Arabidopsis thaliana: one gene and its partner. The protein of the gene in region 1 purifies or fractionates together with the protein of each later gene. This does not show direct contact. Each region holds a gene or a part of one and is shown on either strand. Other genes may lie near its edges.

Evidence for each region. Proteins that work in one complex are often made in the same cells at the same time.
Region 2: the proteins of ALPHA-SNAP1 (region 1) and PLAT1 fractionate together in Arabidopsis thaliana (co-fractionation; one large-scale study listed by BioGRID). This does not show direct contact.

What each region holds. Positions count from the first base shown.
Region 1 is NC_003074.8:20,928,557-20,932,314, reverse strand, and holds the start of ALPHA-SNAP1 (alpha-soluble NSF attachment protein 1), read right to left. Parts: upstream 1,759-3,758; coding exon 1,350-1,758; intron 1,056-1,349; coding exon 955-1,055; intron 505-954; coding exon 353-504; intron 332-352; exon of another isoform or gene 114-331; coding exon 1-113. Other genes in the region: ATG18D (autophagy 18 D-like protein), read right to left, coding at 3,518-3,608, 3,734-3,758.
Region 2 is NC_003075.7:18,430,642-18,434,354, reverse strand, and holds PLAT1 (Lipase/lipooxygenase, PLAT/LH2 family protein), read right to left. Parts: upstream 1,697-3,713; 5' UTR 1,406-1,696; coding exon 1,337-1,405; intron 1,251-1,336; coding exon 774-1,250; 3' UTR 602-773; downstream 1-601. Other genes in the region: AT4G39720 (VQ motif-containing protein), read left to right, coding at 3,491-3,713. UniProt on the Arabidopsis thaliana protein: Positive regulator of abiotic stress tolerance involved in the regulation of plant growth. May be a downstream target of the abscisic acid (ABA) signaling pathway.

The sequences.
Region 1 (3,758 bases):
CAGCTTTGCATAAGTGGCACATGCCAGCAGTGAGAAGATGGCCTTTAACTCCATACTTAAGCAACTTATTGTTGAGTGAATGGCGTGCCTGTGTCTTCATAAATCTGGATTGCCTTCTCATACCTATCAAAGATACAACAGCAAGCCTATTATCAATCAATCAATCCGCCCCAAAGTAGAGAAGGGGCTATAATCCATGTGCTCATGTGTAGAGAACAACAACATTATTCCAAACAATGTCAAATTTGTGGTTTGAAAATTCGATTTTAACATGGTCCCATCTCAGTACTGTAAGTACGTCAATACCAGAGGATGAGAAAGCCAAAAAAAGGTCAGGTGCCGAAAATCTTACTGCTCTAGCTGGGAAGCATATTGTGCAACCTTTAGATTGCACTGGTTTGCAGAGGTGGTCACTTCTTCTATTTGAAAGAATTCAGCTGCCGTTTCATAGTAAGCAATAGCTTGCTCGAACATCTCATCAGATTCATAATACTCAGCAATTTCCTGTCAAAAGTAAATGACAATGTACACATTAGTACAAATACAGAAAGTCAGTACCAAGCTTACTATATATACTGTAGAAAAAAAGAAACAAATCCGACAGGATCCAACATGCATAAACAACACGAACCATGGAGAAGATGCTGAAGAAGTGCCTCCCCCTCAATAAAACTATCTTCTCACTATCCGTACTAAAAGAGTAACAGTATCTAATTCATACTCAAAAGAGACATGTAGTACATTGTAATATCTTGCAGCCATGTTGAGCCTTACTATCTATCTCACAAAATATATTCGCCGCTCTCTCTAGACAAGATGCAGCCTCTGCATATAATAAGGTCATGGTTATATTTGGACGCGATAAACATGCATAGCGAAAGGAAAACACACAAGAGTTGATAATCAGTCCTGTAGTACATATATGTCAATTAAAATCTAAAAAGCTGTTGCTACATGATCCATACATTCGTCCATTATCATATATGTGTTTGCCAAAGAATTTGCCTTTAAGTGACAATCGGCAAGTTTTAGATAAGCTATTCCAGCTTGATCCCCTGAAGAATCACAAATCAAACACATAAGCAAGAAGATACTTATCAATGACTTTACTATAAGGCCAAAAACCATCATTATCGAGTAATCTAAATGTTGAGTATCCAATTTATAATTCCCACATATCAAAGAGGCCTAAAATCAACTTCTCACAACACCATGGAAGGATCACCACAATTGCTAAACCAAAGATCAATCAAAAGTCTCAAGTTTCACCTTTTCTTCCTCATCATCATCACAAATCAATCAGATGAAACAAAAATCAAGGCCGGCTGATTATTATTTATGGAAATTACATGATTTGGCAAGCTTATAGGAATCACGTGCTTTCTCGAGCAGATCAGCAGCATCCTCGTACTTAGTGTCGAATCTTCTCCGTCTGTTAAGCTTCTTCTCAGCTTTCTTCTGAAAGTAGTAGCAACTGCTTGAAGAAGAGAAAGTGATATCAAACAACAACAAGAGTTGGCGGCGAGCGATGGTAGCTGAAGCGGCTCGCGTGATGGTTCTCTGTTTTGAGTATTGCAGAGTTCCGATGAATGAGAGATGGGCTTCGTGTCTCCTTTTGGGCCTGAAACAGCTGCAGTGTTGTTGTGAGAGATTGAAGTCTCTGCTTGAGTTGGAGACTCTTGTTGTTTGATATCTTATCAAGTTCCTCAGCTCTATGAAAAGTGGGTAAAAAAAACCCTCACCTTTTACAAAAAACATGTACAAAACCCTCAACTTTTTTGGTGGGTTTTTAAACCCTTCCCTTTTTTTCTTTGATAACTCAATGCCCAGACCACACAGTGATCTAACTAGTCTACTGGGGCTAAGCCCGCGACCAGAGATTTTTAAGCATCCATTTAAGGGATTTTTTGGTGGGTTTTTAAACCCTTCCCTTTTAAAAAATAATAAAATAACACTTACTATTATTAAACCAACTAAACTATTATATTAAAACATAAAATAAAACAAGTTAGTTTGTAATTTATACTTTCCAAATTGGAGTTTTTGATATTTTTTCAGAATTTAGTTGTTGTTTTTTGACGATATAAAAAAATAAGTTTCAATTAGAATTTGTTATGTAAACTAAAATCAATTTATAGCTTAGCACATTTTATTTTATTTTACTTCATATGTTTTCTAACTTTTGAAGTTTTGGATTTAAAATGAAGAAAATTATTAACATAATTTTGTTCTAAAGTTGTGTGACTGAACAAAAAAAAAATTCTTAATATTTCTTTTCTTCTTGAACATATAAAACAAAGGTTTCGCATTACCAAAAAATTTCAGAATAAGAATTATTCAGCCTATCTTATCGTATTTCCAAAAAAGATCTCGAGAAGATCTCGGAGAATCTTAACAACAAATGAAAAGAAAATATATTATCATTATTTTGTGCAAAAGATTGCACTCCTCCTTCCTTTCCATCTTTATTACCTGATGCGTAAAGATATCTAATGGAAGAAGAGCTCTCGCCTGCTTCTATAAGACCTGTTTTACTAACAGGACAGTTTAGTATTTCAAGATGTTTTAATTCTTTGCATCCTTTACCAATTGCTTGGAGACCGTGATCCGTAACATTGGTAGCATACTCTAGTGTTATTTCAACAAATCTATATACAGAACAAGCACATGTATCACGGTCAGTTTATGTGCAACATCAAATATTCAATTAGAAATTTTTGATAAAACAAAATTGAAAATTCTCGTAAATGACGTAAAAGAAAAAAGAATAATAATGCAATCAAAACTAGCATTTACAAGCAAAAATTTCTAAAAGAATAATAATATAATTTGTGTTAATCACACCATAGAAAGTATTTTGAGCAAGGGGAATTAATAAAATCAATGCATCATTAAAATTGCTTAAATTTAATGCATCATTAACTATTATGTAAAAAAAAACCACATAAAATTTTTAATATATGTAAATTTTATATAAAAAAAAAAAGATTGCTTAAACCACAAGCTAGCGACTTGTGAGTTTAACAAAAAGTCGTAAAATCCAATGGAATCTGGTGACGACAAGGCACCTAATACTTTTTTTTTTTTTTTAACTCTGGCACCTAATACTTTTAAAGCATCTCCATTGCATAATTTTCTATATTGTCTCTATAAAATTAAAGTTACTAAATATTAATAATTAAATGTATAAGTCTTTAAATTAAATGGAGAAATCCGGTTCTGTAACCTTGAAATGACCATGTAAGCTGAACCATCTTGCATTTGTTATATCTGTCCTATAATCAACATTCTGATTTGAAATTTTAATAAACGTAATCGAATTGCAGTTTGATTCTCTGTAGAAATTAGTGTTATAACCAAAAAAAAATCCTTTTTGTATATACATTGTTCCAATCAAGAATACATTTTCCTTCAATCAAGTAAAGCTTGGAAGAATAAAATCGTATGCGGTTTCACCAAATCTATATACAGAGCCAATTGTTATGTACATAAAACTCAAACCAAGCACGTGGTCTGACTATCTCGGGCTATCTTGCTTCAGAAAATGGAAATGTTCAAGCTGAGTCATCTCTCCTCCGTTCACTGGATCGAAATTGCACCTGTAGAAACTGTAAGGCCGATAAATCATATGTGTGGTTGTTGGTTATTTTATGTTTTTGCTATTCTGACTAGTGTGATGGAAGCATATAATACTTGTGGATGATGTGAATATACATTCAGAGAGATTAGCTACCTTCCGTCCAAGCCAATAATTGCAA
Region 2 (3,713 bases), on another chromosome or scaffold:
AATTGTTATGGGTTAGAACTGTTTATTAAATTTCAGATGTGGGACTCAGTTTCATTTAAAACGTATTGGGCTTTTAAAATGGCGGCGAGAAGATATGATTATCGGCCATGTCGTAAGCCCAATATGTTATTCCAAATGGAATTTAACTTCTTAAATAAAATTTCAAAACAGTAATAGAAAATCATACCATAGGTATACAATTATCATATGTTGTTACAAAAACCAATTGACGTCCAAGAATATACTACCATATATTATTAATAGAATTCGTAACAAAAAAAAAAAAAAAATCACATTCTTTAAGAAGTGAGTGTTCCCATATTTCTCTACCAAGAGACGATTTGATTTTGACCCTACAAAAAGTATAGTAGATACAATGTGGACAATAAATCATATAAATATCAAAGAGTTAGTTCTCAATGAATACAGACGTGGCGTCATTTTTGGCCCAAGGGATTATTACTTGGTCCACTCAAATTTCTATTCCGCTTATTAATACCGACACCTATATGCATTCAATCAATTTTCATGTCCTAGTCTTCTCATTGATTGGTTTCACATTTACATAACCTGTGATTAATCTACTAAAGCAAATGATTCAACTAACCTGTGATTAATCTACTAAATCATTCACTAATCATGAGTTAAAATTCGCAAAATAACTAAAAAGGTTTTATTTTATTGAATCATATTTCATTAACGCCACATTACACTCACAAGAACAACGAGAATACAAACAATACAGACAAGTCTCACGAATCACAACACATCACTTAAACGACCCAAGAAAGCTTTTTCCGAATCTCAGACCCGACCCGACTAACACTATCCCTAAGCTTGACCGGACAATTGTTCCGTACGGCGGTGAGCTCATAAGGAGAAGTATCAGTAGCGAGCCATTGCTCAATCTCAAAATCCTGCGTCGAGCACTGTGCGTGAACACCAGCCGTCGTGATCTCAACGTAATTAACGTACCAACCATGGTGATCGCCGGAGCCATCGGAGGTTAGGTTTAAGGCACAGATCGGACTAGGTAAACACGGTGCTCTTCCACTGAAAATGTCGAGATTACCCCTCTCGAAGTAATTGTAATCAGGTCCCATTAATCCAGCCCAAGCTTGAAGGTTTTTGATTCCGATGTAGTCACCGTCCTTATCGTAGATTCTTGCGCTGATGATCGAATCGGTTCCGGCTTTCCAGATCGATCCGGTTCTGAGGTAGAATGTGTATACACAGTCTGGATCATCTTCCTAGATAAACAAACAGAAACTGAAAAAGTCAAATTATCGAAAAATCTAAATCTGATCGAGAGTGGTTAGAGATTGAGGAAGTTTACGGCGAAAGCTACGGCGGAGACGGTGGCGAGAAGGAGGAGGAAAGGGAGGAGAACATCGCGACGAGCCATTTTGTTTTTTTCCGGTGAACGATTTGTATTTTTTCTCTGATTTTTTTTCTGCAGAGGTGTATTAATAGATGCGAATATTATTTGAGGGAAGGGTTATTATTGGGAATTAACAATTGGGGTAATAATCACGTGTTATTCGGAGTAGCGTGTAATGTTGACGTGGCTGACTCTTATCTGTTGTGATGTGAGAATTGAGATGGATAATTTGAGAGGCTTGGCGATTACTCGGCGAGTCGGTATATGATGGGTTGGTAGATTTACGAAATTATCCTTTTAAGTCTCTCTCTCTCTGGCAGCTTACGGACCAAGAAAAATAGTCCACTGGATTGTATGAAATTTTCCTTATTAATGACTACGAAATTTTTGATGGTTTTGTCTATATTAAGAATAATTCAAATTTATATTGAGAATAAGTAATTCTTCCCATTTTTATTTGCTTATATATTTGCTGTCAGATTTTTATTATTTTATGGCCAGGTATAATTTATATTTGTAAAAACAAATTGTTACTTCTTCTCAGCATTTTCATTTTTAGACATCTTCTTCTCAAAAGTGTGTGGGCTTATAAATAACAAATACTAATTATATGGAGCCTTGGTATAGGTAAATATTGGGCATAAAGCGTAAGCCCATTGTTGCACAAAAAAGAAGAAGCGTAAGCCCATTTATATATTTATCTTGTTATAACAAAATGCACACGTAGCAAAAAAACTACATGCTGGAAATTTGATCAAACCCATAGCTTACTAAATTATAGAGAGTGATGATTCTTTAGTTTTTGATATCCTTGTGATCTTCAATACTAAAACTATGTAGACTTACATTATTTTGGTTAATTATATGATGATCATTGATCACCCGTAAAAAATTTTACTAACACGGCAATTTTTTTTTTATCAAACACTAACAAAACATTTAATAGTGATAATAGTTAATCGAATGTAGTGGTTGGTTTTACTAAATGTTTCTTTTTCTTATTTGCAATGCAATGATAATCAATTTCATACGAATTTACAAGTCAACTGAAATTTTGATATTTAGAAAAAAAACGAAAAAAACACAATTATAAATGAGTGTGGGTAACCAAACAAAACTAAGCCGTATGGGTAAAGTGATAATAGGGTTATGGCATTTTGGTTAATGGGCCCATAAATTTTGAATTTTCCTTGATAATTAATAGTATATTATATGATTGATTCTTATTTTCCGACCAAACCTAGTATCTCTATCAAAATATACACTCAAACCATTAATTTCCACTTGCAAATTAATCGGGTGAAATAAGTAGAAATGAGTATGTACATATCTTTGTTGCATCTTTTAAATTGGTGATTTCGAAATTATTCAATTGAAAAGAAAGATTAATCAGCTAAAAAACTTATCTTGGTGGAACTAGCTATATGATGACATCTAATAATTATGATATATATTATTGAATTTGGTCCGAATTAACTGACCTAATTATGTCATCATGTAAGAGATTAGTAGATTATTCAAATTATTCTATATCTTTAGAGAATAACGAGAGGAAGTTAAATGATTGTTTGTGCACACGGAAAATTAAAACTTGTTCTAACATTTTTATCGCATAATTGATTTTGATATGAATATACGCACAAATCACGAAGAAAAGTAAGTACCATTTATCAGGAAAAGTAAAAGTAATACCATCATAAGATTTGTAAACGTAACATCCTGCAGTGGTAGAGAAACAAAACAAAGCATTAGCCGAACCAAATATCTACAATCAAAGTGAATTTTGACTATCACCAAAAGGAATAAATCTAATATAAACTAAACCTTAGATACATGTATATAATATTGGGATATAGAGTAGACAATAGTGGATGGTGGTAGTGGAACCACTTAATGCGATTTCACCTTCCCTGTTTTTCTCCCTTTCACACAAAAACAAAACAAAATTATTAAAAAATCATGTCACACCAAATGTCTTATTTACCATGATACCCTATCTCATAAACTCCTTAAACAAACAATAGCTCCCTAAACTCAAGTATCCATTCTCACCTCTAAATCAATTTCTTACGTTTTCTCTCGTCAAAGTCTTTTTTTCTTTGTCACGAGATGGAGTCCGGTAATAGTAGTAGCATGCAATCTTCAAGCGGCGGTGGCGGAGGAGGAGAAGAAGAATACGATTCACGCGCCGCAGATCAATCCATTTCCGCCTTCTTCGACCACCACAACAACCACGTGTCATCTATACCCACGCCGCAACAAAACCATCGCAACCTCCTCCATTTCGACCATAACAACAACAACTCTCTAATACCACCAAACTACTTTAACA